3 linked regions of the Notamacropus eugenii genome follow. The protein of the gene in region 3 interacts with the protein of the main gene of each other region in a pairwise test. Links are inferred from orthologs where the notes say so. Each region holds a gene or a part of one and is shown on either strand. Other genes may lie near its edges.

Region 1 (3,746 bases), on a different chromosome or scaffold from region 3:
AACTCTGTGTATTGAATCCTAAATACTGGAGGAGCCCAGAGATAGGAGAGCTAAGTGAGAGACTTTTGCGAGTCAAGAACCATTGATTAAGCTCCTACTATGTGCCTGGCACAATGCTAAGCAGTGGAGATACAAAGAGAGGTAAAAACATTCCCTGCCCTCAAGGGGTTTACGGTCAAATGGGGGAAAACAACGTGTCAATAACTGGGCACATGCAAGATGTGTCCAGAGTAGATAGAAAGTAATCTACAAAAGGCAGAGCGGTCACTGATGAATTTGCGCATGTGACTTGTACTCTTATTAAATGGTCAAAGACCATCAGCAAACCACGTTGTAATCTGCAGTTCCCCAACCGTCAGATTGCAAGAACTTTATAAAGGTGTAAAGAGGAAACCGGCTTTGAAGTCCAGGTGGGCGTGGATTCCTCCCCAGGGACTCGGGAGTCCGAGCCTGCGCAGTACATTTTCCCAGGCTAGAGATTCTGAGGCTGACTACCGAGTAATAAACTACAACTCCCATGAGGCTGTGACATCTCTCGCGAGTTTAGTAGCCTGGGGTTACGGGCTTGGGAACTGAAGGATCGCGAGATTTGGAGGCCCGACGGGAGGCGTACCTGGCGCGGGGGTGAGGCCTAAAGCGAGTTGGTTCCTGATGGGGCAGGGGGACGTAGGTGGTCTGATTTGGGGGGCGGTTGTAGGATCTCAGCTGGGAGGGGCCTTTGGGATCACAGAGTCATTTAACAGGTGGGGAAAGTGAGATGCAGAGAAAAAGGGAGAGGGAGGGGGAGGGGGAGAGGGAAAATGAGTCACCCAGGGAGCGGAAGCCCTCGGTGGGGGGAGGGGTCTTCATTTCCACCTGGGGGAAGGAGAGGGTGAAAGTTCGCACCCAAGGGCGCTCCGTGACCTTGGGCAGCCCCGTCGGGCCTCAGTTTATATAGAATACAAATAATATAGGACTCTTATTTAATGTATAAACAGTAGTTATTATTAACTTATCCCACTGAAACCATGGGATCGTAGATACGGAGATGAATGTATCATCAATTATCAGTTTTAAATTATACATGTATGTGTGTGCATACACACACATTATATATATAAATAATAATATATTTGTATTATATAATATATAAATATGTGTATCTATATATCTATATCTATATATAAATCATTTCAAATCAAATGAGATATGTGCCAAGCACTTGGCAAACCTTAAAGGGGCAATATTATAGTGCTCGAAGGTTCATGTGCGTGGTGCTTGACATTCTCATTGGAGCTGTAAAAATGCTAGTTATTATTTATTATCTCCATTGAAATCATAAGATCCTAGCTCATTTGATCCTCACAACAACTCTTTCAAATATTCTGCACATTTTACAGAGGTGGAAACTGAGGCATACAGAAATTAAGTGACTTGCCCAAGATCACACTGCTAGTAAGGGTTTGAGGCTGGACTGCCTGGTAAATCGATCTATTTACCAAGTATTCCCCTTACTTCCTTGACAAGCTCCTACCTCCTTGGGAGTAAGTATACCCCAGGCTGGGAACTTCTGGTTTAGGGGATTGGGGAATATATGTGGGAAAATACTTTGGGAAAATTAAGTGTGTTCTCTGAATCTAAGACCTGGTGTAGCAGCAAGCACCCTGACATATACAGGAGGGCCTGCTGTACAGGTTCTTAGATCTGCTTTTCTAAAAGGAAAGCAACTTTTGAGGGGTCAGCAATCTACTTTAATTACATTCACCAACAGAAAAAATACAAGCAGAAAAATAAAGACCAACAGACATCACAGATCAACAGACAGATCCAACTGTCTGACCATACATACATATATGGTTACCAGAGAGAGAAGAGAGAAGCACCAACATATGGGTTTTCAAAGCCTGGAGGCTCCCTAGCTGCTACCCATAGTCATCAAGCACATGAACCTTCTTTCAAGCCCCTAAAGCAAAACCTCATCTTGGAGTATGTATACACTTTTCAGAGCCAGATGGCATCACAACCCTTGGGACCCAGTGCCTCACTGAACAAACAGCTTCCCTTAATTGGCTTCAGGTGAGGCTTTTTAATGGAGAGAAGATCTTTAACATTACACCTGGAAAAGTGGAAAGATCCCTGGGTTTGATATTAGGAAGCCTGGATTCATATCCAACCACATTTAGTAGCAGTGGGACCATGGACAAATAAATCTCTAACTTTTCTGTGTCTCAGTTTCCCCAATACCTGAGTATCTGTCTCAGATGTGAGATTCAAGTGAAATAATTCAACTTTTACTAAATTCGTACTGTGTGCCAAGCACTACTGAGGAGCTGGGAGATATGAAATCAAAACGGAAATGTCCTGTACTGTCAAACTGTTTACTTATACTTAGTCTATATAAATGTCAGTTATGAATCACTGGAAGTCAAATCACAGATATTGTGTATAAGAGCTCAGCTTCATACCCGGGACCTCTAATTCCAAGTCAGGTAAGTTCCCTTTCCACTAGACTAGGCTAGATAGCAAAAACTTGCTAACTGCCCTATTAGGCTGCTGGGGTAAGGCATTTATGTATCTTATGCAAATCCTGAAAATTAACGTTCATACTGTTATTGTCACTGAAACTTCAAGTCTTCAGTGGCATACCTGCCCCTCATAGACCTGATGTTAGAAAGTGACTTTAAAATTGATTTAAGTTCAACCTTCTCATTTTATATAGATGAAGAAAAGGAGAGGTTAAGGGACTTGCTTAAGCAGGGTCACCCAGGTGGTGAGTATCCGAAGCTTGTGATGTGGAGAGCAGAATCATTAAAAATATGTTCTTAAATTATGTACATTTATAAATGTAATATTTACATACTCATAATGTGTTACACTGTTCAGCAGGATAAGATTCAGACAGTCTCCAGTTGGGAGTCACCCTCACTCAGTGGCTTAAAGGGTTAGACTGACTTTTTAAGAAATACATCATTTGCTTGGCCTTAACTTTTATTGGCCAATGAGGTGGTCCAGGATTTCCTGCTGTGAGAGTAGGCCACCTCCATGCATATTTCTAGATGTATGTGGAGTAGCTTACATACCAGTGAGTCATAGAGTGACTCATTTAGGAAGTAGTTTTGATTCAAAAACATTTTTGTGTGTCCAATGGGCTTCTCTAAGACAGATTGTTGGCTTAAGGAAGGATACTGCACCTTTGGAATTTCTGGATCTCCTGATCATTTCCTTGCAGAAAGGAATATCTGAAGCCCAGGACACCTGTTGTCTCTGGTTGTCCACTGGGAGGCATCATCTATTTTCTTTTTTTGACCTTTTGTTGTTCATAGCAATCTCCAGAGGTCATTTAAGTCAAATCTATTACCTTCTCCTTATCAAAAACTACGCTTCTATGCCCCTTTCCAGCCAGGTACTCTCATGCTTACCCCCTTCTCTGAGGCCAGATGCTATCCCTGCCAGGAAGTATGAAGAGATATCATAACAGACACTGGCTTTTGGTACAGTAACAGTAACATCTAAACATTCATGTAACACTTTATATCTTACAAAGCAGGTAACTTATATACAATGTTATTTCATTTGATCCATATGTCTCTGGTAAGGTACACAGGGTAGGCCTCATTACTCCCATTTGATGGATCAGGAAACAGGTTCAGAGAGGGTGACTCATCTCGAAGGTCTTATCCAGATTTGATAGTCTCTGAGTCTGACTTAGTAAATGTTAGAGCCAGAACTCAAAACCAGGCATCTTGACCCTTTTTTCAGAAGTAAAC
Region 2 (3,746 bases), on a different chromosome or scaffold from region 3:
ATGTCAAAGGAGAGGTATATGAAGGCTGCAAAACGTTAAAAATAAGGAATTACCGAGAAGCTTAGTAAAGAAGGCCATTAAAGAGGGAAGCACCTCCCCCTGTGCGTACAACTTAGAGAACAGGGGCAGACAGTTTCCTCTATACCAATTAAGGGAATGTCCAAATGATGGATTCACACATGCTCTAAGGAAAATCTGATAGGTGACAGGACCAGATGCTAATCAATCAACAAACATTTCCTGGAGCTCACTGCCTGATAGCAAGAGCCACACTCATTTTGCCAGGTCCACCAGCATTAATGTCAGTAGTCTGAGGAAAACATCCTAGCTCAGGTGATGCTAAGAGGAATCTTTTCTATAGCTAGTTGTGAATACTGTTTTCAAAGAAAACTATTTGTTACCATAGTTGGAAAAAAACCAGCTACGTTATCTACAAATATCTAAAATCAATGATTGCAATCCTTTGCATACTACAAGTATCCGTCTAGAGAGATGTCTGGATGATGTTAACGAAAACTGCGCCATCCGGGTTCAGGGTATGAGAGGGTAAAGGGCAAGGTTACTGACTAGATCTAGGCAAATTCCCTTGAGACTTCAGAGTTCTCTCGCTGTTCCAGAAAGGAAAGCAAACACAACGAAGTTTACTAGCTCAAAGGCAGGCAGGCAGACCAGCTCCCTCCAAAGATCAGATTTTACGTTTCCATGCTTGGCCTCAGTAACAACCCGCCGTGAAACTGACAAGCGGGGAGGACGCCCGTGACAACCAAGGAAACAAACTCGACAACGATTCCGGCACCCTACTGAGCGCCGCACCGGGACTCGGGAGACCAGGACTTAAATTCTGCCTGGCCTCACGGGCCTCAGCTTCCTCATCCGTAAGACGAGGGTAACGTTAACCCCTCCTTCCCAGGACTGCTGTAAGGACACAGCACCGTGCCAACCCTGAAGGGCTACACGAATTCTGGAATCTTGTCCTGAAGCAGAAACCCGAGTTCCAGCTGCTCTGTGCGGGCCGCGGTCCCAGCAGGGTCAGCTCTCTGGGCAGCGCCGGGCGGACCTGACCAGACGGCCTGGGCTGAAGCAGAGGCAGGGGCGCAGACGAACTCTTAGGGAGACGCTTGAGCCCAAGTCACAGGTGGGAGGGCTCCGAGCGCGGCAGGAGTACAAGAGAACGCTTTTACCGGACGTCACGGTCCTGTCAACCACGTGTCCGCTCCACCTACGGCCCCACCCCGGGCACGGACTCGGGGTCCGCGGCTGGTGCGGCCCGCCGGGCACAGGCCGGCGCTGCCTACGCAGGCCGGGGGACTCCTTTGCCACGTCCTTGTCCAGGGGGCGAAGGCCACTTCGGCCCCAACTTTCCCACGGCGCGCTCCCCGCACCGCCTGCCCCCGGGTTTCGGGAAAGGCCGGGCGGGCTGGGCACGCGGACCTCCATGCCCTCGCTCTTTCTCCTTTTACGAACACTCCCCCTCCCCCCAGACGGCCCGGCAGAAAAGACTGCGGACCGGCGAGGGGGCGCCCGGCGGGGCCCGGACCCGCGATGACCGCGCACCAACTTTCGGACCCGCCCGCCCGGCGGAGCACTAGCCTGCGGGCGCCCGCCTGGCCCGGACCCCGACAGCCGACCCGGGCCCGTCACGCGCGCCCCGAGCCTCCGGGGCACGCGCTCCGGCTCGGCCCGGGCGGCCCCCAGACCCCGACCTGCACTCCCAGAGGCGGCGGAGGGCAGGCCTCTCACCTGCGAGGGCGGCAGCGCCGAGAAGCGGAGGGTGTCGGCTCCGGGCGGGATCCGCTTCACTACCAGCGACCCCTATGACCCCTGACCTTCTCCCGGCCCCGCCAGGCTGCGGCCCCTGCGCCCACTGACCGGGGTTCGGTCCAGCCGACACCATAGAGACGCCCCCGGAAACGGGACAGAACGCCAGCCTCCGTCCCTCCGACTCCACCAGAGAGGCGGCTGCGCCCGGGACCGCACTAGAGCGGCGCCAGCCCTCGGACCGTGGCGCCGAGCGCTGTCCCTCACCGTAGCCGGCGGAGACAGTCACTCTTGGTCAGGCCTCCGCCCCAAAAGCTATCTCGGGAAGCTTTTCCTTCTAGTACTTCTAAGCCTTACCACCGAGCTCGGGTTCCACTTCCGCCCGAATCCAAAATGGCTGCCCGGCCACTCCGTTTCACGTCGTACGGGAAGGGGGCGGTGCGCCGCGCATCTCCTGCACTCCGATTGGTTCCTCTGCCGGGACTCAAGTTTCCCTGGCGAAGGACTGATGCTTTGGCCGCCATGATGGGTTCGGGCAGACTTTCGTAGGCGATTCCTAGCAGCGCGAGTTCCGCCGGACCTGGCCAGGCGGAGCATTCGACAGGTGAGCCCGGACCTGAGGGCGAGGCCTCTGCTCCCCCGCCCCTCGGTAGTAAGTTAGGTTCCCAGGCCTTTTCTAGATACTGGATAGATTCAAATAAATACAGTGAATCCATTTTTAAAGTCCCGAGTCGCCTGGAAGCCCCACGCTGCGGGGTCTCGGCCGGACGAACGTGGGCCCTTCCTTGCCCGAGGACTGGTCCGGCCTGGTCCGGCCCCTCTCGCACGCCCACTCCCCCGCCCAGGCGGGCCCTTATCCCCGCCAAGGGGGCCTGGGCTCCCCGGTCCCGGCCCCGCCCGCGCGCGCTTCTGCGCTCGGTCCATTGACTTTTACAGAGACGGAGACTGAGCCCCCCGAAGGTGAGCGGCCCGGACGTGACTCCGGCCAGCGCACGTTCACCTGTCCGGAACAAAAAAGCCATTTCCGAAAGTCCCCGGAGGAGCGCCCTTGGGGCCGAGGGCAGAACCCGTGACCGTCAGGTCCCCGGCGGCTCCCGGGTCCGCCCCAGCCTGCGCAGCCGGGCCCGCGGCTTCCGGTGCTCGGGGAACCCTGGCCACGGCCGAGGGGGGGCCGTGAGAACGAAGCTGCCTGGCTTTATGCAACAGAAGTCGTTGAATTTGAATTGAAATCGAACCACGACCGGACTCTGCTCCCCCAGCTTTGCGACCCTTGGTTGGGCAGAGGCCCCTCAGGGACCCGGGGACAGGGGACGCCTTGGCCTTAGGGCCACAGGTGGACGCGCCCTCCACCCCCACCCCCCCGGGCTCCGTCGCTTCAGACTCGGGGTCCGGTGCCATCTGGTCTTCGCGCTACGTGAATGTCCCGCCACCGAGGCGCTCGACCCGTCGCCCAGCCAGCAGACCGGCACCGCCCGCTCCGGTTTCACACGGCTTTGGTTTTGAATGACTTTTCTGGGTAGTGTAAGAAATGGAGCTCGGTTTCTTCAGGCCGAACCTTGGTTCCGTAAACGCCCGGCCGCTTGTTTTCTCCTTCTCGGTCCGCTGAGGTGCCCCCCTCCCCCCTCCTCCCTCTCCCCTCCCTCCTCCCCGCCTCTCTTCTCCCTCCTCCCTCTCCCCTTCCTCCTCCCCCCCTCTCTTCTCCCTCCTCCCTCCTCCCCCCCTTCTCCCTCCTCCCCCCTTCTCCCTCCTCCCTCCTCCCTTTCCCCTCCCTCCTCCCCCCTCCCTTCTCCCTCCTCCCTCCTCCCTCCTCCCCCCTCCCTTCTCCCTCCTCCCTCCTCCCCCCTCCCTTCTCCCTCCTCCTCCCTCCCTCCTCCCCCCCTCCCTTCTCCCTCCTCCCTCCTCCCCCCCTCCCTTCTCCCTCCTCCCTCCTCCCTCCTCCGTCCTCCCCCCTCCCTTCTCCCTCCTCCCTCCCCCCTCCTTCCTCCTCC
Region 3 (3,746 bases):
GAAGGGATAAGCAGAAGGAAGAGTGAAATCAGAAGGCAAAGGAAAACAAAGTGCAAAGAACTAAGACATAGGAGGAAGGTGTGATCTGGGCTGAAGTTCTAGCTTTAGGGTGACTTTGGGCAAACTTTCCTTATCTGTAGAATGCGGGGGCCAGAAGGATTTCTGGGAAAGGAGATGGAGGAGAGGGAGAGCTCAACTCCAAAAGCCCAGAGATTTGCCAGTGGCTCCTGTGTGTCAGCTCTGCTGGGCCTAGATACAAAGAGACAACACACCCAGCAGCTTCCTTGGAGGAGCTTAGTCTGCTGGGAGGGTGCAAGAGTCAACAATAAATGGCAGAGAAGGCAAACATCCTATCTGGACAGAGGAGAAATGTACACAAAGTGCTCTAGAACAGTATGAGGAGATCCTGAGATGCCGGAGCTGGAAAGGGCCTTCAGGGATCGTCTATTCCAACCTCCTTTTGTACGGCCAAGGGCACTGAAGCCCAGATGGGGAAAAGACATGACCTGAGGCAGATAATCACCAGATCCACAAGTATTTATTAAGTACTCACTACATGTCAGACCTCACTAGGGGAGAAGAACAGGAAGATGTGCAAGGAATTTACATTCTAAGGGGGAACACAAGTAACAGAAAAACACACACAGGACAGAAACAAAGTTAATAGAAACAAATATATAGAGTAGTTAAATACAGAGTAAGGTGGGGAGGAGGGCACCAGCAGCTGAGAGAGGAGGAAAGGCTTCCTGCAGAAGATGCTGCTTGAACTTGGTCCTCAAAGGAGAGGGAGGCTGAGGTGGGGAGAAAAGGAAAGCATGCATTCTAGGCAGGCCCATGCAAAGGCAGGGAAGGAGATGTGACAGAGAGAAGGCCAAGCCAAGGGCGCTGGCAAGTCTATAGTACTTTAAGGTTCTTTACATAAAACACCTAATGTGTTACCTCATTTGATCCTCACAATAACCCTGGGAGGGAGGTGCTCTAATTATCACTCTCATTCTACAGTTAAGCAAACTGAGGTAAACAGAGGCAAACAGAGGTAAGTGATGGCCAGTATCACACAGCTAATTAGTGTTTTCCCAACTCCAATCCTGCACTACCCACAATAACAAATGAGACAGGAAAGATAGGCTGGGACCAAGTTTCACTGGGATTTAGAAGCTAAAGGGTTTATATTCTCTCTTAGAGGCAATAAAGATCCCAGAGGGCTGAGGAGGGAATCATGGTCAGAATGACGCTTAAGAAAAGTTACTTTGGCAGCTGTGTGTAGGATGAACTGGAGAGGTGAGACCGGAGGCAGGCAGACCAGTTAGAAGTCTGCAGGCCAGAGGTGATGAAGGCTTGAATTAAGGGGTGTGAGAAGGGGTCAGATGGGAGACATTTCAGAGGCTAAAATAGCTAGATATGGCCCTCAGTCACACAAGTTACAGGAGATTTGAACACAAATCTTCTATCTCCAACACAAGGAGAGCTTGAGAACCATGTGTAAATCCTGGCTCTTCCTTCTGAGGCAAGTCATTTAGTGGATGGAGGGATGGGCTAGGAAAGCTGAAGCTGAAGATTCCATCAGGTTTCTAAGGTCCCTTGACCTCTAACTGTATGAAGGCACCCCTATAGGGCAGGTGAAACTAACCAAGGGCTGGTGAACTTTTTAAAAATTTTAATTCTATAACTATTGCAATAAAATTGGTTTCCTTGGTAATCCTAAGTACCTTATTTAAAAACACAATTCTGAGAAGAGGTCTGTAGGCCAAAGAGTCCAGAACAAAAAGAATTAAGAACTCCTGTTATGCAAGATCAGATCAAATGAGATAATATGGAAAGTTGTGTGCCAACCTTAAAGGGCCGTATAAATGCAAACTATTACAATTACTATAGGAGCGAAAACTTGATTGAGGTCACACGGTTCCACCCTCTCTTTTTTACAGATGTGGAAACTGAGGCCCAAAGAGACATGACTTGGCCAGATACAGGGCATTTACTACATGCAAATCACCCATAAGGATGCTTTCATTCTACTGGGGGGGACCATGGTCAACAGGCAGGAAATTTGAGGAGGTGAACACTGTGTGGTGATGGAACCAGGCTAGGAAAGGCTTCTTGTGTTAGGGGGCTCCTAAGGAAGGGTTCTAAGGGGCAGAGATCAGGAAGTAAAGCGTGAAGGTTTGGGGGGACGGCTTAGGCAAAAGCACGGAGGGAGGAGATGGGCATTTGGCCGCAAATATAGAGCACGGAAGAGAGTAAGGGTCACTGCAGTCCGGGGGCTATTTTTTAAACAACAAACGTTTAAGGGCTGATTGACTGGCCACCCCCGGGGTCCAGCTCAGGGCCCGGCACGTGGAAGGCACGGAAGCGAAGCCTGCAGGTTACCGGGAGTGCAAGCAGGGGCCGGACCAGGCACGGCCTTGAATGCCGAGCTCAGGAGTTTGCACCCGGGTCCGGAGGGCGGGTAGGGGAATCACGGCAGGCGCGTGAGCAGGGACAGCGTGACCCTGAGGACCGGGGAACCAGAGTTCCGGGGCGGAACGTGGGGCCCGGGGAGGGGAGGGGGCCGCCAGGGCGGGCGGACCCGGGAGGAAGCTGGCCGCCGCCCGCCGCCCGCCGCCCAACCCGGGGCTTCCCCACGCGCGCCTCCTACCTCCCTGCGGCGCGAGCGCGACCACGAGCTAGAGCGAGCGGACGCCCCCGGGCCGCCCTACCCTCCAGTCTGCCTCCGCCTCCGCCCCCAGCGGCCCGGCCCGGCCTGGCCCTGCCCGCCCGTCAAGGGCACGGCGAACGTCACTTCCGTTCCGGGGTCGGGCTTGCGTCACTTCCTGCAGCTGCCTCCCGCTTTCCCCAGAGAGGGGAGGGGAAAGGAGGACGGCGCGAAAGGAGGGGGCGGGGCAAGGCGCCGCATGCGCACCACGTAGGAAGTGGCGCTAGCCGTTAGAGACGGAAGTGGGTGGAGCTAGCGAGCGAGGGTACGTTAACGCCCCGCGGGCGTGACCAGCCGCCGGCTCCTCCCTGGTGCCCCGGGTCATTCTGGGTGGTCCCAGTCTTCCCATCTGTCACGTGATGGGGTGGTCTTGATGTCACGGTCCTCTTCTAGAACGAAGAACTAACTCGCAGGAGGGGGTGGGGCCGGCTTGGCCCTTGACGGCACCCTCTCCCTCCCTGAGCCTTAGTTTCCCCATCTGCAAAATGGGACGGTGAGTCTCCAGCGCCCCAGGGGGCGCATCTACCCCAGACCCCCCACCCCAGGAAAACCTGGGGCTTAGAGTTGGCCATTAAAGCCCCCCAGCTTGCCCCCGTCCCAGTCAGTGCCCTCTGGTCTTGAGCCACCCCGCTGACGTCAACCAATTAATCAATAGCCATTGATTAAGCCAGGCACTGTGCTGAGCTCTGGGGCTACAAAAAAGGGGCCAAAGAGAGCCCCCGCCCGGCAGGAGCTCCCAGTCTACTGGGGAGGGGGGGGGAGAAAACTAGCGAACAAATCAGTATAAACACGCTACAGACAGGATCCATGTGAGATGATGCATAGAAGGAAAGCCCTGGACGAAGAGCCTGAGGAAGGCTCCGTTTAAGCAGGTGGGACTTTAGCTGGGACTTGAAGGTAAGCCAGAGAGATCAGCAGTTGGAAGGGAGGAGGGAAGAGGCCCAGCCATGGGGCACCGCCAGAGAAAATTCCAGGAGCTGAGTGAGCAAGTGCCAACTGTCACGTAGGGCACTCCCATCTCCCCTCTCGGAGCCTTTGCCCAGGCTGTTGTTCC

The links.
Region 1: the proteins of TXN2 (region 3) and PPCDC interact in binary tests that used the Homo sapiens proteins (3 or more experiments, as listed by UniProt). The two-hybrid records come from large-scale screens. The link is inferred for Notamacropus eugenii from reciprocal best matches to the Homo sapiens genes TXN2 and PPCDC.
Region 2: the proteins of TXN2 (region 3) and SCYL3 interact in binary tests that used the Homo sapiens proteins (3 or more experiments, as listed by UniProt). The two-hybrid records come from large-scale screens. The link is inferred for Notamacropus eugenii from reciprocal best matches to the Homo sapiens genes TXN2 and SCYL3.

What each region holds. Positions count from the first base shown.
Region 1 is NC_092872.1:240,978,320-240,982,065, reverse strand, and holds the start of PPCDC (phosphopantothenoylcysteine decarboxylase), read left to right. Parts: upstream 1-1,174; 5' UTR 1,175-1,990; coding exon 1,991-2,055; exon of another isoform or gene 2,056-2,468; intron 2,469-2,486; exon of another isoform or gene 2,487-2,749; intron 2,750-3,746. UniProt on the Homo sapiens protein: Catalyzes the decarboxylation of the cysteine moiety of 4-phosphopantothenoylcysteine to form 4'-phosphopantotheine and this reaction forms part of the biosynthesis of coenzyme A.
Region 2 is NC_092873.1:476,487,111-476,490,856, reverse strand, and holds the start of SCYL3 (protein-associating with the carboxyl-terminal domain of ezrin), read right to left. Parts: upstream 2,441-3,746; 5' UTR 2,356-2,440; coding exon 2,116-2,355; intron 2,095-2,115; exon of another isoform or gene 2,026-2,094; intron 1,869-2,025; exon of another isoform or gene 1,741-1,868; intron 1-1,740. UniProt on the Homo sapiens protein: May play a role in regulating cell adhesion/migration complexes in migrating cells.
Region 3 is NC_092874.1:293,519,828-293,523,573, forward strand, and holds the start of TXN2 (thioredoxin, mitochondrial), read right to left. Parts: upstream 2,922-3,746; 5' UTR 2,636-2,921; intron 1-2,635.